4 linked regions of the Notamacropus eugenii genome follow. The protein of the gene in region 1 purifies or fractionates together with the protein of each later gene. This does not show direct contact. Links are inferred from orthologs where the notes say so. Each region holds a gene or a part of one and is shown on either strand. Other genes may lie near its edges.

Evidence for each region.
Region 2: the proteins of PCNA (region 1) and POLA1 fractionate together in Homo sapiens (co-fractionation; 3 studies listed by BioGRID). This does not show direct contact. The link is inferred for Notamacropus eugenii from reciprocal best matches to the Homo sapiens genes PCNA and POLA1.
Region 3: the proteins of PCNA (region 1) and CCND1 purify together in Homo sapiens (affinity purification with western blotting; 5 studies listed by BioGRID and IntAct, with this or other methods). This does not show direct contact. The link is inferred for Notamacropus eugenii from reciprocal best matches to the Homo sapiens genes PCNA and CCND1.
Region 4: the proteins of PCNA (region 1) and XRCC1 purify together in Homo sapiens (affinity purification with western blotting; 3 studies listed by BioGRID, with this or other methods). This does not show direct contact. The link is inferred for Notamacropus eugenii from reciprocal best matches to the Homo sapiens genes PCNA and XRCC1.

The regions. Positions count from the first base shown.
Region 1 is NC_092872.1:632,582,274-632,589,742, forward strand, and holds the start of PCNA (proliferating cell nuclear antigen), read right to left. Parts: upstream 3,012-7,469; 5' UTR 2,447-3,011; coding exon 2,226-2,446; intron 1,620-2,225; coding exon 1,522-1,619; intron 1,434-1,521; coding exon 1,366-1,433; intron 290-1,365; coding exon 95-289; intron 1-94. UniProt on the Homo sapiens protein: Auxiliary protein of DNA polymerase delta and epsilon, is involved in the control of eukaryotic DNA replication by increasing the polymerase's processibility during elongation of the leading strand.
Region 2 is NC_092876.1:452,201,448-452,208,441, reverse strand, and holds the start of POLA1 (DNA polymerase alpha catalytic subunit), read left to right. Parts: upstream 1-3,985; 5' UTR 3,986-4,130; coding exon 4,131-4,173; intron 4,174-6,994. UniProt on the Homo sapiens protein: Catalytic subunit of the DNA polymerase alpha complex (also known as the alpha DNA polymerase-primase complex) which plays an essential role in the initiation of DNA synthesis.
Region 3 is NC_092873.1:21,909,719-21,916,918, forward strand, and holds the start of CCND1 (G1/S-specific cyclin-D1), read left to right. Parts: upstream 1-4,194; 5' UTR 4,195-4,448; coding exon 4,449-4,646; intron 4,647-5,886; coding exon 5,887-6,102; intron 6,103-6,811; coding exon 6,812-6,971; intron 6,972-7,200. UniProt on the Homo sapiens protein: Regulatory component of the cyclin D1-CDK4 (DC) complex that phosphorylates and inhibits members of the retinoblastoma (RB) protein family including RB1 and regulates the cell-cycle during G(1)/S transition.
Region 4 is NC_092876.1:25,376,920-25,384,760, forward strand, and holds the start of XRCC1 (DNA repair protein XRCC1), read left to right. Parts: upstream 1-4,835; 5' UTR 4,836-5,014; coding exon 5,015-5,065; intron 5,066-5,122; exon of another isoform or gene 5,123-5,212; intron 5,213-7,841. Other genes in the region: PINLYP (phospholipase A2 inhibitor and Ly6/PLAUR domain-containing protein), read right to left, coding at 1-30, 842-911. UniProt on the Homo sapiens protein: Scaffold protein involved in DNA single-strand break repair by mediating the assembly of DNA break repair protein complexes. Negatively regulates ADP-ribosyltransferase activity of PARP1 during base-excision repair in order to prevent excessive PARP1 activity.

The sequences.
Region 1 (7,469 bases):
TCAACCTATTATTCAACTCTGGATAGGTTTTGCTTTACCAATATCCTAATTCACTGTACTTAAATTATTTTCTCAAGATTTAAATTTGACTTACAGCTTCCTCTTCTTTGTCAACATTACTTGTCTGTGATAATTTTACATTTCCACTTCCTAGTTCTCCACTGGCAGAAAATTTTACACCATCTTTTGCACATGAGATTACAACAGCATCTCCAATATGACTGAGATCCCGACAGATTCGTGCAAATTCACCAGAAGGCATTTTGACCACACAACTGTATTCCTGTTCCTGTAATACAAAAACAGCTTTGAATATGATTTAGGAGTTTAAATATTTAGATGTCATCGATCTCATTTGCTGAAAGAATTAAGAGCTATGAAATTGCATTCTTTTGAATAACACCTACTCCAAAAAGATAATTAAGTTATGACAATTAAATAATTTATTTAGGAAAGCTTAAGAGTACAACTATCTTTTCAAGGAATATTTGATGTAAAAGGAAGTGAAAAGCACATTTAATTCTATTTTAACTATTTAATAGCTATGAGTAGCCAAATCTATTTTTCTTGAATGTATTCTGGAATGACCAAGAGTTTCGATACCAGTCACCCTACTAGATACTAGATTATCAATATTAACAGCCCTGTTAGATACATAAAGATGGGCCACAGAAAGGGTATATGGGTAGCTGTATAATTTACAAAAACTTGTTTTCCAAAAAAAATTAGTTACTTTTATATTAGAAATTTTAATATCCAATCACTTTTCTACTTTGATGAAGATAATAAGAATTTATATTTCCTTGGAAATGATTAAAGTCTACGAAAAGCTCCTTATAAACTGTTATTAATAAAAAAAAGTCTAATGAGCTTAAAAATTAAGATACAAATATTATAGTAGAGATCGAATGAAGGGAAATTAAGAGGAAAGAGGCTGTCTAGTGTGGTAGAAACCAATGTTTTGGAGAGTAAAGACCTGAAGCTCAAATCTTTACTCTCAGTTACGACCTCAGGCAACATTTAACTTGTTTAGCTTTGCTGTATGGTAATAAGCTTTTAAATTGGCTTCTAGCTCTAAATCCTAACTGTATTATTTTTGTTATTATTATTCATTCTTAATAAATCAAAGAATTTTAACACTGATTTTAGACTTATTTAACCCTTTATTTCTTTAAATAGATATACAATGTAGTACATATTAAGTTAAAATGAATGTCACATTATTAAAAATGATTTTCTCTCATGCCAAAAATTTTCTTTACATATTAGAACCTAAATATATAAGTATTAGAGATTGACTTTGGTCATATTAATTTTATTTAACTATTATAATGAGACATATGACAAGAAATCTCCGATACTTACTGGGATTCCAAGCTGTTCAACATCTAAATCCATTAATTTCATCTCATAGTCTGAAACTTTTTCCTGATCTACAAATAAAACACAAGATGCCATTTTATATTTCAGTATTGGTGTTATAACTAAAAAGCGGGGTACGCGTTTATAGGACAAACTTACTTGGTGCCTCAAAGATCAACGCCAGCGTATCTGCATTGTCTTCGGCCCTTAGGGTAATAATATCTTCGTTGCTGGCACATTTCAGTATTTTGGACATGCTGGACAACGGAGAACAAGCAGTAAATAAACACGTTCATCGATAAAGCCCCGGAGGGGTTACAGCCGGCCCTGTAACGGGGCACACGCAGATGCACGGTGGACGTAAACAGGCACATTCCGGTGGCAGGAGGCACCGCCGATCTCCCTCCTTACCCGAACGCCGATCCCGGTTTTTGTTAAGCAGCACAGCCCGCCGGCCCTCCCTAACAGGCGCCCCGCCGCCGCCTCCCTCGGCCGGGCTCGCTCCGGCCACGAGGCCTCTCGTGGAGCGGACATGCTTTTCACTTTAAATAGAGGGCATCGGACGCAAGCCTTCCCGCCACAGCCCCTCCGACCGCATTGTGAGCTTGGCGCCGAAATGACGTTGGCGGGAGGCGGCCGGGGCGCGCTTCCCCTTCCCCAAACCGCGCGCTTCGGCCCGGCCCCGCCCCCTGCCGCCGCCAGGACCAATGAGGCGCGTCCGCCTCTTCCCCCCCCCCCACCGCTCCCCGGCCCGGGCAGCAAGAACTACCTCGCTCGGCTGCGCTCCCGCCAAGAACCCGGGGAGAAGCCCGGGGGCGGGGGGAGGGAACACTGTGTTTACAGCACCGGAGGCCCGAGCTCACCTGGTGAGATTAACGCCCATGGCCAGGTTGCGGTCGCAGCGGTAGGTATCGAAGCCCTCGGAGCGGAGGGTGAGCTGCACCAGGGAGATGTGGGACGAGTCCATGCTCTGCAGGTTCACCCCGCCCGAGCTGATGTCCCAGCAGGCCTCATTGATGAAGTCCTTCAGCGCCTCCAGCACCTTCTTGAGGATGGAGCCCTGCACGAGCCTTGCCTCGAACATGGTGGCGAACAGCGATACCAGAGCAGAAGCGAGGAAAAACCAAGCGGCCTAGGCTCGAGGGGAAGACAGGGCTGGGCTCACCCACTGAGGCGAGGTCCTCGGCCCGGGAGCAGAAGCGGGGGCAGAGACGCACTCACCACCGCCGCCTCTAACCAAATGAGGCTCCGCTGCTCCGCCTCGCGCGCTCGCCGGCAAGCCGCTATGACGTCACGGCGTAACCGCCCGCCTCCTCCCTAACGCTACTGGTGCTCCCTCGACCAATCCCATCGCGAAGGTCCCCCTAAACCTCCTGAGCCAATCAGAGGGAGCAGGTTTACCCCGCCTTTCCTCGTTGCCCGGGCTTGTTCAGGTTCACCTCCTCTCAATCCTTTTTGGTTTGGGGCCGGGGGCTTTATTTTTGGTTTAAAACCTCACTCCAGGAAGGTGGCTCACTCCTCGGACAGTGAGATTTAGAGCTGAAAGCCACCTTGGAGAGCCTTTCATCTAATCCCTTCAGTTTACAGACGAGGAAGCGGAGGCCTCCTGGAGCTGAAATGACTTGCCCGGGGTGGTCACATGGGTAGCAAGTGGCAAAACGCCTTCCAACCCGGGTCCTTTGGCTCCACAAGCCGTGGCTCACTCATGTTTTAATCAGAAAAAATAGTACGTTACAGTGCGTGGCACACGATAAGCATGGATAATGCACGTTCCTTCTTTCTAGGGTAATGGGCAGTAACGTTTGCCACGACCTTTTTTTGCTGGCAAGTTTCTGAACACAACAGAAAGACCTTACCTTCACCCAAGGACTTGTAATTTTTAAAGAACCATGGACGTGCTCTGGCCAGTTGGTGGGCAGGGGATGTTTGGCCCCTTCCCGTTCTCTAGGTTCTCATCCGTCAAATGGAAAGGTTGGATCCAGTGAGGAAGGTTCTTTTAAACTCTTAGGTACCAATAACTTTCTTTCTGTATGCCTTTAGCGGGTGGCTTGTTGGATTAAACCAAGTGGACCTGTGTGTCCGCGGCTGGAAGAGAGAGAACGTAGCTGGATTTCATTTCCCACCCCTTTTCTTTGACATCAAGAAACTGAAGTCAAGGGAGATTAGGTGACTGGCCCAAAGTCACGGAGGCTCGGTACCGAGGCGTCTCCTTGCCCCATTCTCCAGCGCCTTCCGCCCCCAGGCTTTGTTCTCTCCACCCCACACTTTCTCTACCTGGGGTAGGTTGACTCTTGGGGGATGCTAGGAGACCGAGGACAGGGTAAAGAAATTATTTGGTAAGTAACTATTATCCCTTTAAAATATTCCCAAAGAAGTAGTGTGAGTGGGGAAAAATAGTTTTGAAGAGAGAGTGTAACTATAATGCTAAAAATGGTATGTGCGAAATAAAATTTTCATTATGGAAAATTCATCTCTACATTTTATTTGTACGTACATATGCATAGTAAACGTTAGAATTTATTTCCTTTCATACTGAAAGGAGGTACCGAAGGATTTATTGAAAGCCAGATAGGGGGCCAGAAAGAGGTTGGGAATCCTTGCTTTACAGTCTGTCTCTTAGTGACTTCATGAACTCTCATGGATTAAATTTTTGTTTCTACCAAGACGACTCCCAGATATATATTGCAAATTCCAGCCCTGCATCATCAACTGCCATTGGACATTTCAAACTGGATGTCTTACAGACATGTAGAACTCAGCATCACTAAAACAGAACTAATTCTCTTTCCTTCAAAACCTGCTCCTCTTCCAAACTTCCCTGTTTTTGTGGGGGCACCATTATCCTTTTAGTCACCCAGGTTTTCAGCCTTGGAGGCATCCTCCATTCCTTCATCATGTATTCACCATGACATCATATATTCATTCAGTTGCCAAGTCTTTTCAATTCTACCTCCACACTCACATCAATCGCCTTCTCTCCATTGACATGGACACCCTCCTAATTCTGGTCCTTGTCACCTTTCACCTTATCTATATTGCTCCTTTCATGTCTATAATACATCTTTCACATAACTGTTAAAGCTATACGGAAAAATTTTTTTTCTATAATCAAGCGTTTTTTTCTCCTTCCTACCTCCCCTCCTACTGAGAAAAGAAATAAAGAACCCTGTATCACATAACCACAGTCAAGCATTTACATTCAAGATAGTTTTATATTTATTTCCTTCCATTCTATTTTCTTTTTTTTCTCATTTTTATTCCTCAAACTCACTTTATTAGAGATTGTTATTCTTTCTTTCCTTTAACCTCCTGTTCATGATCCCTTCTTTCCAAGCTTAGGGTTTGTTTTGTTTATGGCAAATCCTTCCCTGAATCCCTCTATTTCCCATCCCTATATCTTTTTTCCCTTATATTGTTCCTTACTGTATCACTATTGAGTTAAATGTATTCCTACACAAAAATTGGGACACTAATGCACTATTGGTGGCGTTGTGAACTGAACAGTTCTGAAGGACAGTTTGGAACCTTGCCTAAAGGGCTATAATTTATCACAGTGCATACCTTTTGAATCAGCAATACCACTGCTAGGTGTGTATCCTAAAGAGATCAAAGGAAAAGGACCGATAAGTACAAAAATATTTATAGCAGTTCTTTTTTTGGTGGCAAAGGAAAGGAAATTGAGGGGATGCCCATCAATTGGGGAATGGCTGAACAAGTTGTGATATATAATTGTGATGGAACCTTTTTGTGTTACAAGAAATAACAAGGTAGTTTCCAAAGAGCCTGGGAACTGATGTAAAATGAAGTGAGCAGAACCGGTAGAACATTGTACATAGTAAAAGGAATAAAATAACAATGATCAATTGTGAAAGACTTAGCTACTCCTATCACTATAATGATCCAAGACAGTTCTGAAGGACTTATGATGCCAAAATGCTATCTACTCCAGAGTGAGAACCGATAAACACTGAGTGCAGATTGAAGCATAATTTTTCATTTTATTTTTTCTTCCTTTTTTTCCCAACATGGGTATTAGGGAAATATGTATTGCATGATTTCCTATAAATAATTGATATCATATTGCTCGCCCTCTTAATGAGGGGGCAGGCGGGAGGGAGACAATTTGAAACTCAAAATTTTTTTAAAAATGAATGTTAAGAATAAATTTTAAAAGAAAATGACAAGGAGACTTGAGAATGAAAAATGAATTATAGATTATAATAATGAAACTTGAAAACTAATAATAGTATAGTTAAAGATATAAATGAGTTAAAAGACTAATTCATCTAAACTTTCCTGAGGAGTCTGGAAGATGTAGGTGTTTTGTATTTTAAAAGATCAGATTGCTTAGTATGACAATTTTTTCTAAGCTTTCTAACTTCTGCTTATTCCACCTATATGTCCAACTCGGATAAAGAGTGGCTGAGGCCTCTCTCATTATAGCTCTGTCTTTCCCTTCTCACCAGAAGGTCACCCAACAGGAAGAAGTCAGCCTAGGGAAGGGCACATTCTGGTTAATTGATACTTTTTCAATGCTCCTCACTCTGAACTATGAAGCCACAGCCAGTTAAAAATTCTTCTATGGTAAGTAGACCAGAACCAGTTACAGAGTTTCTTCTCTAAGTCCTTGTGGAGATTGCATCAGATGTACCTTACACATGCTCGTAGGCATTGGGACTCACTGGCCCATATCCCATTACAGATGACAAAAAAAGAAAGGCACTGGACTCCAGAAATGATCTCTAGGATTTCTTGTAGCTCTCACTGCCTACATAGTATAGTTAGGGAACAATGCAAAACACCATCTGTTTCCCAATGGTAGAATGTAAGCTCTTTGAATTCAGGGACTATTTTCACTTTTTTCTATATATCTCCAACTCTTAATGCAGACAATTGAGTGTATTTGAAAGGTAATAGGCTCGGAAGGCTATGCTATGAGTAGCAGGGGTATTATTTTCTCTCTACACTCTCTAGGGAACCTCATCAACTCTCATAACTTTAATTACCATCTCCATGTAGATTGACAGATAAGAATGTCTAGCCTATCTCTCCCTGAGCTGCAGTCCTTCATCACCAGTGGCTAATGGAACATTTCAAACTGATTCTTTCCAAGACATACCAACCTCAATATGTCTGAAACTTAACCCATTATCTTTCTCCCCAAACCCCCCCTTCCAAACCTCACTATGTCTGTCAAAGGTACCAGTCTCAGAGGTTTGTAAATTCGAAATTACCCTTGACTGCCCATTCTTCATTACATTTATCTATCCAATTAGTCGCCAAATCTCGCCATTTCTACCTCCACAACATTTCTCCACTCACGCAGTGACTACTTTATCAACCTAGAGGCAGCTGAGGGTGCAGGGCCTGGAATCAGAAACATCTGAGTTCCAATCTGATCATAGACAATTATTAGCTGTGTGACCCTAGGGTTTCCTCATGTGTAAAACGAAGATGATAATAGTAACTCTTACCTCACAGGATTGTTTAAGGATCGAATGGGATATTTGCAAAGCATCTGGAATATAGTAAGCACTATGTAAATGTTAGTTATTATTATTAGCTGTATGATCCCGAGCAAGACGCTTAAGTGCCTTAATTTTCTCATCTGTAAAATGGAGCTAATAATAGCATCTACCTAGTAGGAGCTATGCAAATGATCATTTTCCCCTCCTACCTAGATTATTGTATCAGCCTATTGATTGGTCCATTCTCTAGTCCAACCTAGAGAAGATGAACTAGCACCCCTTGAATGTTCTCCACTTCTGGTTATGAATCCCCAGCCAATGAAAAAGTCTCCTTTATGGTAGCAGACCAGAACCACAATCACTGCTGCTACAGAAATTTTCTCAAAGTGTCAATGTGACTATGTGGCTCTGTTAATCAGATACTAAGGCTTCCTACAGCTTTTTTTGTTGTTGCTCCTTTGTTTAGTTTTTAAAGCCCTTCACAGCCTGGTTCCAACCTATCTTTTCAACTTCATTGGACTTTACTTCTGCAAAAATGGCCTTTTTATTCCTTTTTGATAGATAGCCCACCTCTCATTTCCATGCCTTTGCACTGGTCATCTCCCATGTCTGGAATTCATTCCTTCCTTAGCTCTACCT
Region 2 (6,994 bases), on another chromosome or scaffold:
AGATTCAGCTCACATGCTACAAGATTTCTTGTTAGTTATGTTGCTGTTCAGCTATTGTTTTGGTCACATCCAATTTTCTGCTACCTCATTTGGGGTTTTCCTGGCAAAGGCAATGAAATGGTTTGTCTTTTCCTTCTCCAGCTAATTTTATAGATGAGGAAACTGACACAAAGAAGGTTCAGTGACTTGCTCAGGGTCCCACAGTCAGATCTGAACTCAGGAAGATATCTTTCTCAATTCAGGCTTGGCATTCTATCTACTGTACCATATAGCTGTCCTTCTTATTGCTTATTCATTCCTAATTTTTCATTCCTAGGAAAATCAGTCTGAGACAAAAGAAAAAGAATTCATATTCTCATTCGGTCAACTAGCATTTATTAAATATCTACCACATATCAGCACTGTGTTAAATGCAAGTCGTCAAGAAACAAAAAAACTGGATTTGGACAAAAGACACAAAATTCAATGTCTTGGTTAGTTTTTTTCTTGCTGTGAGTCAGAAGAAAACAAAATATACAAATAAGTTTGTATTTGATAAGCTTATGAAACAGAAACTGTCATGCTAATTTAGAAATATCCTTGTCTCCTTTCATACTGAGCTCCAAAGAAGAAAGACATGCAGGGCAGTTGGGTGGCAGCTTTCCAAACTATGAGCCACATGAGTGATGACTAAGCAGAAGTACCAAAGAAAGAAAATATTGTCGCCATGGTGGCATCAGTTGCCCTTGTTGGGGTGAGGGAGAACCATCTGCCATGTGGATAAGTTTATCAGGGAACTGCTGTTCTTCTCCATCAAGAATGAAAAATGGCATTCTAAATCATCACCTAAGAGCCATGGGTAGATAACCGAAGTTTAAATATTGGAATACTATTGGAAGGAGCTTTTTTATAGCCTTGACGGATGGAAGGCTGTCCTACTGAACACTTCGAAAACAAAATTCTTGCTACCAAAGTCCTTGGCACTGTCAAATGGGTCAACATCAGACATGGGGATATGATTTTATCAGTGGAAGTGACTTTATTTTTTTAAAAATTCATTTGTTTTCAGTTTTCAACAATCACTTCCCTAAGCATTAAATTTTCTCCCCCCCCCCAGATGGCATGCAATCTTATATGGGTTCTACACATACACAGTTATTAAACACATTTTCACATTAGTCATGTTGTATAGAAGAATTAAAATGAATGGGAGAAATCATGAGAAAAACCAAACCAAAACAAAACACAACACAAGAGAAAATAGTCTGCTTCATTCTGTGTTCTGATTCCATAGTTCTTTTTCTGGATGTGGATGGCATTTTGCCTCAAGAGTCCTTTGGGAATGTTTTAGGTTCCTGTATTGCTGTGAAGGGCTAAGTCTATCAGAAACAGTCCTCGCACACTGGGGCTATTACCGTGTACAATGTTCTCCTGGTTCTGCTCATTTCGCTCAGCATCAGTTCATACATGTCCTTCCAGGCATCACTTGCTCCTCATTTCTTATAGCACAATAATACTCCATTCCATTCATATACCAAAACTTGTTCAGCCATTCCCCATTGATGGGCATCCCCTCGATTTCCAGTTCTTGGCCACCACAAAGAGAGCTGCTATAAATACATTTGTATGTATGGGACCCTTTCTCAATTTTATGATCTCTTTGGGATAGAGTCCTAGAAGTGGTATTGCTGGGTCAAAGGGTATGTACATTTTTGTAGCCCTTTGGGCATAGTTCCAAATTGCTCTCCAGAATGGTTGGATCAGCTCACAGCTCCACCAACAATAAATTAGTGTTCCAACTCTTCCACATCTTCTCCAACATTTGTCATCTAGTGGAAGTGACTTTAAACATCTTTGACAATTTGCTTTGTTCCCTAAAGATCATGGGACCTTTCCATCAGACTCTTATCTGAAATCTCCTATGTATGTGGTTACTCCCATTAGAATGTGAGCTCCTTATATAAGGAAATTCTTTCTGTGACTCAAGGGGACTTACAACATACAACACTCTACTCTGGGTCAGGAAAGTGAGTTCAAATCCTGCTTCAGACACTTATCAGTTAGGTGGCCCCTTGGTTTGGTCATCCATAAAGTGGGAAAAATAGTAACATACACTTTATAAGGCTGTGCTGAGGTTCAAATGAAATAATATAGGTAAAGTGCTTTGTGAGTCTTAAAGCATTCTCTAAGTGCTAGCTATTATTACCATCCTTATTATATCTCAGGTCCAACATCAAAACAGCATGGGGATTCACATGCCGATGTACCTTACAGGTTCGCATGTTGTCCATTAGATTATGACTGCCTTGGGGGCAGGGACCGTCTTTGGCCTGTTTTTGTACATCCGGCCCTCGGCACACATTAGGAGCTTAATAAACGTCTACTGATTGATTGACTAAACTCAGGGAGCTCTCCAAGAGGCTCATCAGGCATTCCCTACACACCAGCGGAAGCTCAGGTCAGACACAAAAAGGACAGTTAAGAGTCTGTGCCTGGCATTGCGCTGCGGACTAGGAACACAAAAATAAGTCTCCTATTTGTACAGTCAAAGGGTTCGATGTGATTATCTCTAAATCTCCTTCCAGGTCCTAAGGCCTGTACCGGCTTGAGACAGGGCAAGGGGAAAGAGGCTGGGGCTCGGCGGGCATCGCGGACGTTGGCCACGGGGATGAAGGCGCTGGGCTCAGTGGGCACCACGGACGTTGGCCACGCGGATGAAGAAGGCGCTGGGCTCAGTGGGCACCATGGACGTTGCCCACGTGGATGAAGGCGCGTGGGCTCAGTGGATGAAGGCCTGTGGGCTCAGTGGGCAAAGGCCTGTGGGCTCAGTGGGCACCGAGGACGTTGGCCACGCGGATGAAGAAGGCCTGTGGGCTCAGTGGATGAAGGCGCTGGGCTCAGTGGGCACCGCGGACGTTGGCCACGCGGATGAAGAAGGCCCGTGGGCTCAGTGGGCACCGCGGACGTTGGCCACCCGGATGAAGAAGGCCCGTGGGCTCAGTGGGCACCATGGACGTTGGCCACGCGGATGAAGAAGGCCCGTGGGCTCAGTGGGCACCGCGGACGTTGGCCACGTGGATGAAGAAGGCCCGTGGGCTCAGTGGGCACCATGGACGTTGCCTACGTGGATGAAGGTGCGTGGGCTCAGTGGGCATCGCGGACGTTGCCCACGTGGATGAAGGCGCGTGGGCTCAGTGGATGAAGGCCTGTGGGCTCAGTGGGCACCGCGGACGTTGCCCACGTGGATGAAGAAGGCGCGTGGGCTCAGTGGGCACCGCGGACATTGGCCACGCGGATGAAGAAGGCCCGTGGGCTCAGTGGATGAAGGCCTGTGGGCTCAGTGGGCACCGCGGACGTTGCCCACGTGGATGAAGGCGCGTGGGCTCGGTGGATGAAGGCCTGTGGGCTCAGTGGGCACCGCGGACGTTGGCCACGCGGATGAAGAAGGCGCGTGGGCTCAGTGGATGAAGGCGCGTGGGCTCAGTGGGCACCGCGGGCGTTGCTGACCCTGTAGATCGTCCCGGCTGGCTCCGGGGAGCACGTTCTAGGCGCAGGGATGCTGCGGACAAGAGAGAAGACAGGCGGAGAGGACAAAGTCCAAGTGCAGAAAGAGGAAGGGCAGGCGCGGGGCGCTGCCCTCGAACTGACCACCACCCCGTCCGTCTAACAATAAAAGAAAGGATCTGGTCGCACTCAGTGTTCGATAGGGTGAAGACCTCCGCATAGCAGCCAGGGCCCCCCCAGCGCGCGGATTCCGCCCGCCCGCGCCTAGTTTCAGGGAAGGCGAGTCTTAGAACCCGAGAGCCGCCCTCTCCAGGCAGGTTCTCGTTCCCTCCCGCCCTGGACCAACTGCGCATGCGCCCCCTGCCGGCCTTCTTTCAAGCGCCCGGCCGCTTTCTTTCTCCGCTCTCGGCCCAGTCTGAGTTTCCCGCGGGTCTAAGGACTCGGGAGCGCGCCGAAAGCCGGGATCTGGAGGAGGAGGCGGCGCTAGGGCGGGGACACGGCCGAGAAACGCCCGGCGACCCCGGACTTCCGGGCGGAAGTCGGCCGCCGTCGGCGGGCGCTGATTGGCCGGCGGGGCGGCGCGTGTCTCTGCCCCCGCGCCAGTTTCAGCGCGTTGGCGCGGAATCCTGAGCCGGAGCCCGTGGACCATGGCGCCGGTGCGCGGCGCGGAGCGCGAGCCCGGGAGCAGCGGTGAGGACCGAGGCGTGGCCGGGGCCCAGGGGGCCCGGGGCGGGGAGGGTGGCGGCGGCCCGAGAGGCTCCGGCCCCGACCGGGGCGAGCGCTCGTGGGGGAGGGGGAGCCTGGAGGTCTGGGGAGTGGGGAGGGGGCGGCGGAGAGTGCGGGCGCGGTGGCCGTCGGTGGCAGCATCACCAGGTGGCAGACCTGCGTCTAGGGACGCGGGAGCCCCGAGGCTCCTCCTTCCTCATCCTGCCCTGGGGGAGCTGGGGGCGGGTCCGCTCCGACCGCGCTGGGCGTCCCCCGCTCAGGCCGCAGCCCCCGGACCCCGAGATCCTCAAGGCCGGTGCCTTGGTTTTACAGACGAGGAAACTGAGGCCCAGCGATGAGGAATCTGGGGCAGGAGCTGTTTCTCGGGCACCTTTCGGTCTCTCCGCCGCACTCCTTTTCCTCGACCTTCTTTCTCGATGTAACTGGAACTTTGGGTGTCCCTGTGGGGCACCCCTAGTGTCCTGCACGTTGTGCCTGCGCGCTCCGCCTTAGGAAATGAGCTTTTATTTTTTCATTTTTTTGCCTGTTTCACTCCAGTGGTGTCTCTAGAACAGCTCAGCAACATCCCGTTTGAATCTGGACCAGACGGTGGTCATTATTTCTGCACAAGTATATCCCATACATTTCCTAAGTGCCATGCCGAGGAAAAGTGTGTTCTGGCTTCTAAGGGGATAGTTTTCCACTTTATGCATTTTAAAATGGTTTTCAGATTCATCCAAGGAAAGGGGGGTAATAATAATGTTTGCCCTCTGGTCGTTTACTAATATGCTTAAAAATAGTGGTTACAAGTTAGTGCTCATATTTTAGTATTCTTTTATCAGAGAAATACTCCGGAATGGATATCTTGAATTCCCTAAAATAGAGTTGGAAACTGCACAATTACCCTAATCCAAATAACTGGATTTTCAAGTGAATACGAGTTGTCAGGAGTCTTGAGTCTGTTTTCCTTCTAAAGATCCGATGACTGACGGGCCTTTGCCTTCCTGGCCCAGTGTCTTCATCTCTTGTCAAATGGATACTTTCTTACTAATGAAAACTTTCTAATCAGTTTCAGTTTCATTCACCTACTTGTAAATTACAGATGTCAGTTTGCAGCAGTTGCTACAGTGGAGACTGAAGCCTTAAGACAGTGTGGTAGACCTCGTTGGTGTGGGGAACTGTCAGGACTGCATTACAGAGGAAATGGATGAACGTGCATCCTGACCTGTCACTTAAGCAGTGATTTGCTGCTAAGCTCTTCTTTTATCTTTTAAAAACTGAACTTCATCAGGGAGCATCAAAAATCACTGCTTGGGTGATGCTGTGCAATCTGGAAACCCCTCTTAAGTTATGGGCTGTGATTATGTTGCTTTGATGGGCTTGTGACTAGAATGTTTCCTTTGGAACATGCTGAAAGATTCATTTATTGTGCTTTTTTCTATAGCCTATCTATAGACTTTTCTTTGGGGGTGCCCCAGATGGTTCTTTTTAATCCAGCATTTGTGATTGCTAGAATCAGCCATTTTTTTCTATTAAAAAAAAATTTATACGTGTGAAGAAAGTGTTTAAAAAGAGGAAGGAGAATTATTTGTTTATGTTTAAATTGGAGAGTCAAGGCCCATTGTTTTCCATAGGTACTAGAACTTAGGGAAAGTGAGATATAGCTTGAAAATCTTATAAGCAATTGTTTACCTAGATATGATTTTTTTTACCTTGCTGGAAAGATGTAAAGGAAAGTTTATAGTAAAGCATTGACTGTAAGCTTCTGATTATTCCTGGTGCTGTACTAGGTGTACTAGTGAGAGAATTACTAGGTAATAATGGCTAATAATAACAGCTACCATTTATGTAGTGCTCTGATGTTTTGTAAGGCACTTAACAAGTATCCTCAACAACAGCCCTGGGGAGGGAGGTGCTGTTATTAGTCTCATTTTACTGATGTGGAAGCTGAGGCGGAGTTGTGAAATGACTTGCCCAGCATCCTACAGATAATTAGTGTTTGAGGTCAGGTCTTCCTGACTCCAAGTCTAATGTAAAACCCATTGTGTTACATAGCTGCGAGATCAAGTTCTTATCCTCTCAGGCACACACGTTGACAGAACTCTAGGTATAGGATCCATCTGTCCATAGCAGCTCAGGCATACTTTAATACATCAAAAGACCAGGGATTTCATCCATGTGACTAATTTCTTGCAAATGTAGATTGCAGTTTTCACATGTAGTACAGGTTTCATGAATTTCTGTGTTTAGAAAAATTTGTAACTTGGTAGCCAAACTTGTACTGATGAGCTTCCTGGGACTTAGCTAGATTGGTCCTTGATTATATTGGCCCTGGTGGCATTTGTGTTCCACTGATAGGTTCTTCAGGACATGTTATGTGCTCCATGTTGTGACGAGTCGTTGGAGGACTTCAGAAGAGGAGCCCACATGTGCAAGGAATTTTTTTGATGTTTCACTGAGATGCCTGATCTCATTTTTGTGGGATGATGGCACATTTCTCTTCAGTGGCAGAGAATGCAACCATCTGTGCTTTCTTATTTTGCGCTATTTTTTCCCCTATCTTCTTAAAATTCCTTCATAGTTTGTTTACCTAGTGTGCTCGAGGGCTTGCTTTAGGTCTTTTAACATTAGTAGGTACTAGTGACACAATTAGGCTGTCTGCCCAGTAGTCTTCATTGTCACCATATAACAGAACCATCTCCTTTTCTGGTCTTCTATTTCTTCAATAATATCTTTATACCATACCTTGGGCTTGAGTCATTATTGGTATTATCTTGCACAAACGTTTGAACTGACAGTAGAATAA
Region 3 (7,200 bases), on another chromosome or scaffold:
AAGAGTTAAAAACCTGCTTGGGAAAATGGGCCGGAGGAGGAGCTCCGGCCGAGGCTGCGGTCCAGCCTCCCCGGCTGCTCAGGGGCGAGGCGTCGAGGATGCTTAGGGGGGCCTCCCTGCTGGGGTCTCTCTACGAACCGAAGGAGGCGTTTGGCACTCTCTGGTGCGATGGCGATGGGAACCGTGTTCGGGGTGCGGGCTCGAGGTCCAGGAGCCCCGGCCTGGGACACTTCAGCAGCTGCTCGACCCCAGGGACGTCGCTTCACATCCACCTGCCTGAGCCTGGAGGCTCCGCGGTCCAGGGATGGGAAAGGCACTTTGCAAGCCTAGAACCGCTCCAGAACACTCCCGTCGGGGGTTAACAGAGGTGTCATTACTACGGCCTTGGTGCAACCTCCGGGGGCTCGGGGCTGCGCGGAGCCGAGAGGAGCCCCGACGGCCACTCCCAGAGAGGGAGGCGTTCGGGCCGGTCCCGTCGCGTCCCCGCTGGGCCAGGGCGCGCCTCTTGCAGGCATTACGGTAGGCGGCGGTGATAAGGGCACCACGTGGCCTGGGGAGCGGAGGCACCGGCTGGAATGCCCGGAATGCGCCGCGCTGCCTCTTAATGAGCGGAGCCCGAGCCTCAATTAAAGCGATAGCCGCGCGCGCTCGCCGCTCCCGGGGCCGGGCCGGGCCGAGCCTGGACTGGCCGGGCCTAGCCGCGGCCCGCTCCCACGCGGGCAGCCGCCAGCCCCCGAGTCCCAGCCCTGCCCACGCGCGATGGGGGGTGGGTTGTCGCTCCCTCCCCTGGAACTTCCTTAAGCTGAGATTTGCATGACTCGCAGCGACGCCCCCTCCCCGAGTCCCCGCCCCCGCCCCCTCTCAAATTCCTAGGTAAAGGATGCGAAGGCTCTGGCTGCAGAACAATGCCCCGGAGATCAAGGGCAGGACCCGGCAGGCCCCGCCGAGGCGGGGACGGGGGCAGCGGCAGGGGCGCTGCCTTCGCCCAGGCCGCCGTCGGGGACGGGGAGGGACGGAGTGACACAAACGGCTGTGCGAGGTTATGGGGGGGCGCACTCTGGGCTGCCCCCCCAGCACCACCTCCTCCATCCCTCCCGGTGACCCTGGGCACCCACGGGCCCTCGCCCGGAGGAGGGAGGCTATGAGTTCTTACTCCGGGTCGGTTTTATGAGGCCCCTCCCGTCCCAGCGGGGAGGGCAGGGAGGGGCTGCAGGAGGCCCCCCTCTAATAGCAGCTTATCGTGCCCGACTGGGGAGGGGAAGACGAATGGGGGTCCCCAGGCCCCCTCTTTTGACCCCAGCTATGTTGGCAGAAGAGACGGACGCCACCATGTGCTCCCAGCGAGCCCGATCCCGCACACAACCTTGGGGACCGGGGACTTGCGGGATAGGTCCCCGAAACTGCGAGTCGACGGGAGGGTGGTGGGCGGTGAGGGCCACACCCGCTCCCTGAGGCATTCTTCAGGAAAACTCAGCTATGGACCTGGGATGGGTAGGGGTGGGAAAGCAAAGCCTTTAAAGTCGCCGTCAGGTACACGCCCGCAGGTGAGCCCACACCCCCCACCCACGTGGGGAGCGGCGGGTCTTTGGAAGGCTTCCTGTCTAACCCAAATGGACCTGGAGTTGGGGGAAAAGCGTCTGGCCCGGGGGACACCCGCACCCCCAGCCTCCCGCGGGGTGGTCCCCGGAATGTCCCCATTTCGCTACCTGCTGGCCCATCCCATCGTTTCCTTGATCCTGTACAACCCAGCGAAGTCAGACACACAAGAATCCGCCTGAATTAACTCTCGAGTCAGAGTTGGGGTCGGATGGGAAGATCGTTTTAATTATGCTCTTTCTGGTCAGTAAACGAGGTTTCCCCTCCCGTCTGGGTCGTCAGTTCATTGTCTCCCGGGAGCCTCTCCTTATCCCCCCCACTACTTGTAGTGCAGGACATCCCCGTCGGGTCGAATTGGAAAGGGCCAGCGCAGTATGAAACGGAGAAAATAAAAAATATAGACTAATTCTCGGTATTCGGGGGTCTCTGCAATCCTCTTCTTCTCATCCCCCCACTCCACTTCCCAGCCCCGGGTGCTTTGGGAGGTCGGCCCACGCGGGGTGTCAAGGAACTGGCTGGGTGTACTCAGCGCTTCCCAGCCCCGGCTTCTCCTTGTCGCCCCCCAAGAAGGGCCGCACCGGACCACAGAGCCTAGACGGCCCAGGGGAGCTCGGCCTTGCGGCCCGGGTCTTCACGTTTTTCCGCGCACCGTGCACTTTAGCGCCGGTCCCTGGGTCCGGGCCATGCAGCCTGTTAGTTCCTCGTTGAGATCTGCCTGATCCGCCTGGTAACACATCTTGTCTCCTATTGGCTAATGCTAATTCCAGCTTCCTCTGGGGTTTCCACCCAGCGAGGGGGGAAAGCTCCCTCCAGGAATCGGCCTCGGAGCCGGTTGGGTGGCCGGGGGCTAACTCCGGGGGCGCCCACGTCGCGGTGGGGCTCGGGGGTCTGTCGCAGCCCGCCTGGGGCCCTACAGTTTAGCGGGGCAGTCCCACGGCCGCGATTTTATGAATGAAAGAGTGGCGGCGCTGACGTCGGGCCCCGGCGTGGGCGGCGCGGGGTGGCCGGCTCCACGCCGCCGAACCGTGGCCTCCTCCCCAGGCCTCTGAGCCCGGTGGGGAGCCCACCCGTGCTCGAGGCTACGCGTGGCGTTCCAACACCCTAGGGCCCTCGAGGCGCTCCAAGCCCTCCGAACCCTTCCCAGGCTCTGCCTGCGGGCCCCGGCCCGGCTCAGTGAAATGAACGGGATCTCGAAGGAAGGTGGGAGAGGGGCCCAGACTGGAGGGGGGCGTGTGTACGCCCCTGGGCTGGAGAAAGCCCGAGCGCCGGTCCACTGCAGACCAAGGGAGGAAACACGCACTTATTGAGCTCCTTCTGAGGCGCTGTCAGGCACATGGAGCGAGCCACGGATGAGCTGAACACGTTTTGTTAATTTCTTGTCCACTCCCTTTGAAACCCACCAAAGTCCTCCCAAGACTGTGCCCCTGGCCAAACTGGGTGCGCTCCCCCTGGCCACCCCGCGCTGACGGAGGGGGCCCACCTTGAGCCTCTTTCCCCTCTTCCCTTTCATTCCCTTTTCTTTTTCTTCTTTTCTCTTCTCGCTCTCTCCTTTCTTTCTCTTTTATTGATCTCTCCTCCCCCTCTCCCCTCTCAATCTCTTTTCTGTTTCTTTCCCCCAGAAGGAGGCAGGACGGAATTTTGCCGCCTGCCTGTGGATTCAGAGGTTCGCTGCTGAATTCCCCTGAGTGGGGAGGGGAAGAGAGGTGGAAGGAGGCCGGGGGAAAGGTGGTTTGCCTGGAGTTCCCTCCCTCCCTCCCCTGGCTAAAGTCTTCCTCTTAGTACTAGGACAGGCCAGAGGAAATGCTGACCACCATTTTGTTGTCCCGGACTGTTGTGGCCCTCTTCGGGGGCCAGAAGAGCTGGGGGTCCCACGCCGGGAAGTGTGGGCTGAAACGCTGTCTTTTCCAGGGGAGGATCGCTTGCAAGGGAGTTGCTGGCCTTTTGTGCCCAGGCACGCATACATGCGGGCGTTCTAAGAAGCTTCCCAAGTGTCTACAGCAGTGAATCAAAATGATTTTTGAAATCGAAGGGGGAAAAAGGCCTCGCCCCCTGCCCCCGCCTCCCGATCCCCTTTAGCCCCTTTGGTCATCGGCTAGCTGGGGCGGGGGGCTGCTCGCTAAGAGTTCACGTGTCTGCCTGGCCGTCTGGCTGCGGGTGGCCTGGCCTCCACCAGGGTCTGTCCCACGACTCAGGACCAAGAGCTGCCCTTTACAAAGCGCGGGGGACCCCCTCCTTCCCGGCTCCCCCGCACCCCTCTCCGTACTTCCCCCAAAGAAAGCTAGTCCCGGAGTGATTAGCATTTCTATTCGAGCCCGGCTTCTGTGGGAGCTGGGCTGGCCCAGGCGAGGGGCTGGATGGCTTTAAGGCTCGGCCCCTCGGCCCCCCTCGCCTCGCCTCCCCCCGCCCCCGGCCCTCCCCCCGCTTCCCTCTCTCCCTTTCTCATTCTCTGCCGGGCTTTGATCTCTGCTCGACAACAGTCACGTCACTGGGACTTACGGGAGGGGAGTCGGGCGAGCTGCAAAGTCCTGGAGCCTCCAGAGGCTGGAGCAGCAGTAGCAGCGGCGGCGGCGGCGGTGGCGGCGGCGGCGGCGGCGGCGGCGGCGGCCGAGCAGCCCGGCGGCACCCGCAACGTCCGAGCCTTGCGCTCCGCACCGCGAGGCGGGCCCCGAGAGGCTAGTCCCCAGCCCCGCCGGCCCGGCCCGGAGCCCCCCGCGCTCCGCACCGCGAGGCAAGCCGCAGCCGCAGCCCGAGCAGCAGCGGGCTCCCGCCGTCCAGCCCGCCGCCCGTCCGTCCAGCGGTCCGTCCGTCCGTCCGAGCACCGGGAGCAGCCCGCCCGCCCGCCGCCGCCGGCCATGGAGCACCAGCTGCTGTGCTGCGAGGTGGAGACCATTCGCCGGGCGTACCTCGATGCCAACCTTCTCAACGATCGGGCGCTGCAGACCATGCTCAAAGCCGAGGAGACGTGCTCGCCCTCCGTCTCGTACTTCAAGTGCGTGCAGAAGGACATCCTTCCTTACATGCGCAAGATCGTGGCCACCTGGATGCTCGAGGTTGGTGGGGCTCCGCCGCGCGCCCCCCGCCCCGCCGGGGCCGTGGGAAGGAAGGGACCCGGCCGCCCGGCACGGCACCGCACGGGAGGGCAGCCCGAGGGCCGCCGGGCTGGGATGGCCAGGCGGCTGGCCGGGGAGCCCGGGGCCGGGGGGGAGGGAGGGGGCAGGGGGGGGATTTTATTTTAAATTAATATCCAAGGACACGTATGCAGGGGCTGCCCGTGCCAGTATTCCGCGCCATCTTGCGCATTTATAGCGAAGCAGAAGTGTTTATTAATAATGAGGAGGGGGCACGCGTGGAGGGGGCGCGGGGGCAGCCCGGGCCAGCCGCTCCGGGAACTGTGCCCTCGGGTGGGTAGGTGGGAGGGGGGGTCCTGGCCTCCCGGCCGCAGCCAGCCGCACTGGGCCAGATCGCGGGGCCCCGGGGCCGGAGCGCGCTGGGGCCCCCGGGGGGGCTCGAGATGGGCGCGGGTGGACCCCGGGCACCCTGTCCCCCATTGTCGGACACACGGCCGGCCCCCCTCGGGCCTCTGAGTATTTTTAATTAATTTCCGAAGGCGCGGCCGCTGCCCCGGCTGGCAGAGAGGCGGGCGGCCGCGCGCGCTGCGGGCACGGGGGGGGCGTCCCATTTCGGGGCTCCCCACGTGCCCCCAGCAGATCCTACGCGGTCCCTGAGACCGGGGTTCGCTCACGCTTCGCCCGGGGCTCATTGTCAGCGGTTTTGTACGTGCCGGGCGATTTTTTAAATATTTTTAAATATTTTTTGAAAAGATGACGTCTGGGGAAATGCGGCCGCCGCGCCGCCTGCGTGGGGACGCCGCCACCTTTGTGTCTCGGGCCACGGCCGCTGGTCCCGGGGCCGCCAGGCCGGCCGCCCCCTCCCCTCGGGTGGCCTGGGCCCAGGGTACCCCCCAGGGGACAGGGGAAGGAACCCCGGAGGAGCCCCCCCACATCCCGCCCCACCCGTGCCCCCCCACTCCCCCCTCCCGCTCCCTTGCCCTCTGGTCGGCCACTTTTCCTTTCAGTTTCTCGGGCCTCGCTTTTGTTTTGGGTTTTTATTTGGGGGGGCAACTTTGACTTGATTGGTCTTTCTGCACTTTCCACGGCCCCCTCCTCACGGGCCCCTCCAGTCCCGCTGGGTGGGGATGGTGTCTCAGGGATCGCAGGCCTTCTGTTTCTGGGGGGCGGGGAGGGTTGGGGGTCCCTGGCGTCCTGCTTCCATCCCCCTTCCCACCCCCAGGTGTGTGAGGAGCAGAAATGCGAAGAGGAAGTCTTCCCCCTGGCTATGAACTATCTGGACCGGTTCCTGTCCCTGGAGCCGCTGAAGAAGAGCCGGCTGCAGCTGCTGGGGGCCACCTGCATGTTCGTGGCGTCCAAGATGAAGGAGACCATCCCCCTGACGGCAGAGAAGCTGTGCATCTACACGGACCACTCGGTGCGGCCTGAGGAACTGCTGGTAATGATGCCTGCTGTGCCCTAGCTTCCTGGGGGCAAAGGGGGGTGGTCGGGTGCCCCTGGGCCTCGGCAGCAGACCTGGATGCCCCTAACCCTGGCCCAGCCTGCTGCCCACCTAGGTCACAGCTTGCAAATTGCATTGACCAGCCAGCCCCCAGAATTGCAAGCTGCCCTTGGGAGGGGGTGTCCTCTCTGCTGGGTTGGGGGGGTTAGGAATGGGGCCCGTGATCATTCCCCAAGGAGAGAACCCTGGCTGGGCAGAGACAGAGCGCGAGCCCTTTTGCCTACTTCCAGCCCTATCCCTGCCCTCCCCCAAGATGCGCCCCTGCCTCACCCCCCCTTCCCTTCCCTTCCCTTCCCTTCCCTTCCCCTCCCCTCCTCCAGCCACCACGTTTATACCGAGCTAACGTGGCCACAAAGTGGGCAGCGGCTGCCCTCTAGCGGTGTCTCCGCGTGCTCGCGGCTCCTGAGCCTGGCTCCTCTCCTTCCAGATGGTGGGAGGTCCTTTTGTCTGAACTCCTGGAAACAGCACCCCCCCTTCCCCCGCCCGCCTCCCGTGGTGACCGCTGGTCATCCGTCCCTAGGAAGCCTCCTTCCTTGGGTGGGGGAGGCGCAGCCCCCTCTCCACTTCCATCCTGGCATCCATCCCCAGGGGCATACTGGGGCATCCCCTCCCCCTTCCCTGCACTACCCGTGCTCTCTCCTTCTAGCACATGGAGCTGCTTCTGGTCAACAAGCTGAAGTGGCACCTGGCGGCTATGACCCCCCACGATTTCATCGAACACTTTCTGTCCAAGATGCCTGCGCTGGAGGAGAACAAGCAGATCATCCGCAAGCACGCGCAGACCTTCGTGGCGCTCTGTGCTACAGGTATGTGGGGGCGTGAGGCGCCGCTGACCCACTTGGCACTGGGAGGCTTACTCAGGCGAATGTGCCCGGGGGTCCTGTGCTTGGGCACTCTCCTTCGCCCTGGGAGTGCCCACCGTTCACAGGGATGTGCCAGCCCACTTGGCATCAGGCACCGGGAGGCTCACTCAGGTGGATCTTCCCAGGGCCGGCCTGCTTGGCATAGGGCAGCAGGAGGCTCACTTGGACAGAT
Region 4 (7,841 bases), on another chromosome or scaffold:
CCTTACACACCTCACAATACAGAGACTGAGCTGAGGGGAAAGACTGGGCCATCAGGACCCCTGGGTCTCTGAGGAGGCAGAAGCATGGGCAACCAGAGACCTGGATCTCTGAAGGAATGGGCTGGGGGGATTAAGAACCTTGGATGTCTGAGGGGACATGGATGGGGGGATCAGAACTCTTGGGTCTCTGCTGGAGATCTGGATGACTGAGTTCCTGTGATGACCAGGTCCTGTGACCTGGGTGGAGCAATGGGGGAGTCCCTGGACACTCACAACCAAACTATCCCCTGGCGGCAGGAAGCCACTCAGTCTGAGGCTGCATTGTGTAATTACATGGCTGGGGACGCCTGAGTCCAGAATTTGGACTGGAACTGGAGGGGGATTGTTGTTAGAGGTTAGAGGGCAGGTACTTCTTTGGGGCTGGGGGAGGGGGCAGCTGTCACGGACCCAGGAGCTAGCCCTACTAGCCATTCTTGTTAGCTCAGGGGGGTCCAGGAATGAGGTACCTGAGAGCATGAATGATCAAAATGCCTAGGTCCCCAGTGTTCTGGTGATTTTGTACCTAGATTCCTAACTCCCTGAGGGAATGGAGGACTCAAACATTTGTCTTCCCCCAGGTGCTGGAGGCTCAAATGCCTAGATGCCAGACACCAAAGGGACTTCCCTGTAGGATGGTCCCCTGTAGGACCTCTGGAAAGAGGTCCAGAGACCTGGATCCCACTGAGAGAAACATGTTATGAAGTTACTTTCCTGGGATTCTGGAACCCTTCCTCACTTCTATCCCCTCCCCAGATCCTAGAGTCCAGGACCCACAACCCAGGGGTGCTGGGGTGGCACTCACCAAGGGGCAAAAGGGTACAGAGCAGGCTGAGGGCCAACAGGCCCAGCTGGGGGTTCCTGGTGATCCTCATGATGTCTGTTCCTAGATCAAGGCCCACAGGCCTTATAGAAGGGCAGTGGCAGGGGGAAGGGCCAGCCCAATCCCTGCCCCTCCCCCCAGTCTGGTCCCAGTTACCAAGATAACCTTAGAGGATCCTGGGACCCATACTCCTTCCCTCCTCCCTGTCCTTGGTCCATCTTCTACCATACAGGATGGCAAAGCTTGGGGGGAAGAGGCTAGTGTTGGGAGGAGTCAAAGTCCCAGGGTCCCTCCTTCTCTTTTGCCCAGTTTTCTTAATGACTCACACCCTACCCTGCCCAGCTTCTCCAACCAGCTTTCCCTTGCCCAGCTTGTCCCTACACGTTGATGTGGGGGCCAGGATGTCTGGGTCCTTCCACCCCCAAGACCTGCTCACACTCCTGTCTTTATGTGCAGAGTTCTTTACCTGCTGCCCCCAGACTTGACCCCTCCCCGTGATGGGGCAGGGTACAAGTCCCTGGGGGAGGGTGGGGACAGGGGGAGCCCCTAGTCACTTCATAGAATCCTCCATTGTCAGAGCTGGAAGGGACCTTGTAAGATGGAATGGCAGAGAACCTTAGAACCTGGAATGTCAGAGCTGGGAGGACCCTTAAAGGTATAACCTCCTCATGCTCTAGATGGAGAAACTGAGATTAATCTCAGTAGATTCCTTCCTGTCTCAAGGCCTCAGTTTTTCCATTTGTTGGAGAGATGGAGTCTAAAATCCCTACCAGCTCAAAATCTACAATCTCATAATTAAGATGGCAACCCAAACTGGGGAATCCTATGTTCTGATGATTTCCCATTCACATACTGCCATTGCCCTGAGCAAATCACATTCTCTCCTTCCTCTGTACCTGTAAAATGGGATCATTGATGCTTACCTCATGGAGCTGTTTCAAAAGAGCTTGTAAGCTTGGAGAGACTGAAGTGACTGGGAGTTCTTTGTCTCCCATAGCACACACCCCCTCCCCCAGGTGTCTGAAAACAGGTGGGGAAAGGGAGGTTGTAACATGCTGGGGAAAGGGGCCACTCACACATGGAGGAACACCTGAGAGCTGAAAGGCTGGTGAAAACCAGAGAATTTGCCATCAATGGATGGGAATTTTGTGCCCTGCCTCAGTTTTCATCATATGGCCAGAGCCAAGAGCAGCAGCAGATTTTCAAGTGATTCATCAGGCCAAGGAACAGGGGCATGACTCAAGTTTTGTTCCACAGAGGGCATCTTGCTCTTGAAAAAGTGGCAGAAGTTGGATGTTAGGTCACTGTAAACCTTGGACCAAAACTCTGGATTTACACAGCCTGGGTTTGAGCTTGGGGGTGGGGGTGGGGAGTTGGTTCATGCTGTCCACCTCTACTCCCTCCAGGTTCATTCTGGGAAATCTCAGAATATACTTCCTGGCTAGGGTTCCACAGATGTGTATAAAAGGGTCTCTCAAATCCTTTACAAGCACTCAAGGTAGCAATACATTTACAGGAGATGCAAGACAGCCTTCATTTCATTCAGTCTGTCAAACAACCAACTATATGCCAGGCATCAAACTAAGTACTGAGGATACAAAAAGAGGGAAAAGACAGTCCCTACCCTCAAGGAGGGCAGGAGACATACAGTCTAATTGGGGGGGGGTCAACCTAAAAAGGAACATACAGAGCAAATGATATACAGATAAATAGTAAAGAATCAACAGAGAGAAGGCACTGGGAGTAAGAGGGGTTCTATAGAAGGTGGGATTTTGGTTGGGACTTCAAGCCTGAGAGGTCAGTTGGAGTGGAAAGGGGCTCAGTATCAGTGGATTGAAGGGTACACGTGGAGGGGTAAGATGTAAGAGGACTGGAAAGGTAGGAAGGGCCAGGTTATGAAGGGCTTTCAACCGCAAACAATGCATTTTGTATCTTATCCTAGAGGTAATAGGGAACCACTTGAGCAGGGGAGGGACATTACTGAATCTGTGATTTAAGAAAATCATGTTAGTGGCTGAAGGGAGGACAGGCTAGAGCAGGGAGAGATTCTAAGCAGACCACCTTCCACCCCAGCAGTAATAGTCCAAAAGTGAGGTAATGAAGGTCTACACCGCTGTGACAGCGTAAGATGAAAGGAGGTATATTTCACCCCCACAGATAATGCAGAATTCAAAAATTAATAGCCAACATAAATATAGTGCCAGGCACTTTACCAATATTATCTCATTTGATCCTCACAACAACCCTGGGGGGCAAGTGCTATTATTAGCTCCATTTCACACATGTGAAAACTGAGGCAGTCAGAGCTGAAGTGATTTGCCCAGGGTCTGAGGTTGGATTTGAACTTAGGTCTTCCAGACTCAGCGCTCTAAGCACCGTGGAGTCTCTTTATTCTAAGGTCTGAGTCGTCTCCAGAACGGGAACCATTTCCAGGCAGGGGAGTCGGGGCAATGCCCGGAAATTCTGATGACTGTTTTCCTCGGCAGAGATACCTAGGCCTCGCGCAAGAGGAAAACACACCTGAGGCGAGCCCCGCCCCCAGCCCCACCTACTTAACCCACGCTACCCTGATAGCTGGGTCACCTGTGGCTGTTCCCCGGACTCCCGCGAGCCCTGTCCATGGTGCCCTTCTTTTCTCTACAGCTTATTCCTCGTCTTTTGACGGCTCAGACACCCAAGGACCCCCTCATCTTCCCAAACTTGAGCTCACACAAGGCAGCTCCCAAGACCGGTGTTCCCCAGGACCACCTCCACCCCGATGGTAGCTTTCAGGCTGGATTCTGGAATCAGCCCCCGTCCTAGTTATGGTTGAGGTCGGGTGTAAAAAGAATCTCCGAGAAAGACTTTTTTTTAGCTTAAAAAAAAAAAAGCAAATAGCAAAGATTCAAAACAGTTAAAGGAAGCGCTCGGTGGGGTCTGGGGTGCCCGCAGGAGGTGGGGGAGGGGTTTGCACCCGAGGGGCGAGTTCGATCCGCGTTATTGACATCTGCTCCCTCATTTAAGGGCTCAAGCCGCGACGTGCAGCCTTGGTCCATTTCCAGGGTGAACAGTTGGCCCCAGAGGGGGTCATTGCGCGCCCCCTCCTCCAGGAAGCTCCTCCTGATCTGCCCCCCAGAATTACTTTGTATGTATTGATCTATGTACAAGCTGCACCCCCATCCACAAAACCTCCCCAAGGGTAGAGTTCAGGGGGCGGTGAATGGTAAATTAATAGCTGGGCCTGTAAATAGTCTGTCGTCAGAGGGCACCCTTCACAAAACCAGGTCTAGCTCTGGGTGGGGAGGTACTGGGTTCTAGTTATGCCCTTTGCTGTGTGACCTCAGGTAAGTCGCTGCCCCTCTCTGGGCTCGAATCCGATGACGTAGGCTCAGCTTCAGATGCCTGGGCTGGATCTGAGGCTGCCTGGGTTTAATGGGGCTCGGAACGGGTCTGCATGGCCCCGCCCACTCCACACCTGCAAGGGCTCCTCCAAAACTAAACTGGGCTGAGCTGGGGTGCAGCAAAGCACTGGGATCCTTCGACTTGGGCAGCGAGGAGGAGGCGCCCTCGGACCACGCCACCCAATGGGAAAAGAGAACAGGGATGCAGTGACCAATAAGAATGGGCTCCAAGCCCAGGAGGCGGGAAATGAGGGAGATGGGCGGTAAGCTCCTGGGGGCGGGTCGGCGAGAGGAAGGGCTAATTAGGTCATACAAAAGGGGTGGAGCCAGGGGAAGGCGGCCATAGAGAGACTGGGCTAGAGCGGGGTGTCGGAGGGGGCGGGGCCGGGGAGAGGAGAGGCAAGAGGAGCGGATAGAGAGGCCAGGAACAAAGGCTGGCTATTGGAGGGACAGCCCAAGGAAAGGTGGAATTGGGGCGTCAGTCCGGTCATGGGGCGGGCTTAGAGCAAGGACGGGTCATAGAGAGCGAAGCCTAGAGTGGCCACGGGCGGGGGGAGGTGGAGGGGGGACGGAACCGGCCGGGGAAACAGTGGAGCAGGGCCAGTGCGCCTGCGCGGCTGCGGGGAGCGCGCTCCCGACTTTGAACAGGCCCGGGAGTCCGCGCGCCTGCGCACTAGTGCTGCCCTGAAAGAGCGGCCTCTTCCTTCCCAGGCTGCGGCCTGGTCCAGAAGCCTTGGATTCTGAAGTCTCATCGTTCCTGGCCCCCAGACCCACCATGCCCGAGATCCGCCTCCGCCACGTTGTGTCGTGCAGCAGCCAGGATCCGGTGAGAGAATCGGAGGAGGGGGAGGAGGCATAGGTCTCTGCGGACTTCCGGTTACGGAGGCCCGGCGGGAGGGACTTCCGGTTATCTAGGGGACTCCAGGAGTGTCTGTAGGGGCCACCTGGGATTGTCTAGCGAAGGCAGTTGGAGGTGTCTGGAGGAAGCGCCTTGGGTGTTTGTGGGGGGGAGGGGCGTCTAGAGGAAATACCTGAAGGCGTCTATGAGGGTGTCCATAGGAGGCACCTGGGGGTGTCTGTGGGGGTGTCTATAGGAGGCACCTGGGGGTGTCTGTGGGGGTGTCCAGAGGAGCCCCTGGGGGTGTCTAGGGTCGTATCCATAGGAGGCACTTGGGAATGTCTGGGGGGGTATCTCTAGGAGGCACCTGGGGGTGTCTAGAGGAGTATCCATAGGAGGCACTTGGGAATGTCTGTGGGGGTATCTCTAGGAGGCACCTGGAGGTGTCTAGAGGAGTATCCATAGGAGGCACCTGGAGGTGTCTAGAGGAGTCCCTGGGGGTGTCTAGAGGAGTATCCATAGGAGGCACCTGGGGGTGTCTAGAGGAGCCCCTGGGGGTGTCTAGAGGAGTATCCATGGGAGGCACTTGGGAATGTCTGTGGGGATATCTATAGGAGGCACCTGGAGGTGTCTAGAAGAAGCACCTCAGATATCTATGGGGATGTCTAGAGGAAGCCCCTGGAGGCATTTATGAGGGTGTCTGTAGGAGCCCCTGGGGGTGTTTATGGGGGGCACCTCAGATGTCTATGGGGTCAGCCTGGGAATGTCAGTGGGAAGCCCCTAGGCTTTCTATGGGATGGCTTTGGGGTCTACCTGGGGGTGTATACATGACATTTATCATGTCTGTGAGGGTTCCAGGAATGTCTGTAGGGGACTTTGAGGGTCTAATGGGGCACTTAAGTCCTTGCTATGGACAGAGGATATGGTACATCAATAGAATCTTCAGGAATGACTTTATTACGGGAGGCTCTAGGGGTGTCCATAGGGGATACTGAGGACGTCAGGAATGTCTCACCAAAGGGGTTAGTAGCAGACATCTCTGAATATCCATGGGAGGTTCAAGGAGGCCTGGGGGCCTCTGCCGGTGTCTGTGGGCACCCTCTCCCCTCTAGAAGGTGATGATCACAAAGAGCCAGCTTTCCAGGACAGACCAGAGGTTTGCTAGGTGCAAACCAGAGTCTACCTAGATTTGGGTGAAGCCTCCACTGTCTTTGCCATGTTGTGGACAAGGTGGAGAGTAGTGTCCTCACTCACCTGGAGCAGCTTCAGAAGGGGCTGAGTGGTCACCCCCAGTGGGTGGTCTTGAAGGCACTGTGGCACCCTGGGGGAGCCCCAGAATAGGTACTCTTTCAATATTGCATTAATGACTTTGGTCAAGAATTGGCTGGCATTGTTGATTGTCAGGGCAGATGATGCAGGGCTAGGAGAGACGGTTAACAACAGCCATCAGGAGGGACTCAGAGAGTTCCTGGGGGCAAGACTGTGGGCTGAATCTAAGGGTGACATTGTCCAGGGGTCTGTCAGGTCCTGCCCATTTCTTCCATGCCAGGCAGGGATGCAAATGCAAAGAATGATCCATCCCTCCTCTTGAGCAGCTTATGCTGTAGTGGACATGTAGTTTGTCTTTACAGAATAAATATAAATAGGGAGACACTTGAAGCCATGTGTGGGTCCCAGAGGACCTAAGCTGGGCGGCAGCTTTTCTGAACACTCTGATAGAAAAGTTCCTAGCATCCTTGGAAGCCAAGAAAGCAAATGTGATGATCTTGGCCCAGTGCACAGGAGGACTGGGCAGGGCTAGGGGTGGGGGTGGGGGGCAGTGTAGGGGGTCCTGCTGCCCTCTGGCCTGATATCATTGTCTTCAGGATGGTGGTTAGTTCTTGGCACCCCAGCCAAGGAAGGACATAGATGAGTGTCTACTAGGAGGCAGCCAGGAGGCTGAATTGGAGGAGAGATGACCTGTCCAGGGGTCTTTGAAAGCTATCTCTAGACCCGTTTAACCCCTGGGGCAGAATAGGAGTTGCCAGGATGGGCATTTCCACTTCCTGACCGCTGAAGGTAGTAAGAGGACCGGCTGACCCAGAGGGTGGGGAGCTTCTGAAGGGAAGCTGGATGGATGACCACAGCTACTTGTTGGCCCCATGAGGCCAGGACATTCCTGCTCAGGCAGCTCCTGCTACCCCTTCAGAACTTGGGGATTCTATGATGGTGGGCTGGGGCAGTGGCATCTCTTGGGGATTATCAGAGGGAGCAGGGGAGTCGTGGAATATCTTGGTGATGTGTCTGACACTGAGGGGCCCTGCCGTGAGTGTTTCATGGGGTCTGGATGTTTGGGGATAGGGGAGCAGAGGGTGGCTCTGGAGGTATCTGTAAGGGATACCTTGGAGGGCGAGCTGAGGTTATCTGTAAGAGCCATCATAGGATTCCATTAGGAGATATCTGAGGGAGAATGCTGAAACTCTCTGGGAGGGTGGGGTCCAAGATTGTTCCTGGAGGATTTCTGAGCTGGCTCTAGGGACCCCTGAGACTCTGACCAGGATACATCTAGGGACATCTGTCAGGGCTGCTTAGTGCAGACATCTGTTAATTGGGAGGGGGCTTTTGGTTGTTTATAGGGGACACAAAGGTATTTGTATAGTCCGGGGGAACTTTATGAGTTATCTGTAGGGACAAATAGAAATAGTTATCACTTGGAGCTTCTTAGGTTTTGAGACTATCTCGAGGTGCCATCTTGGGGCGTCCCAAGGGAACATCTAGGACTCTC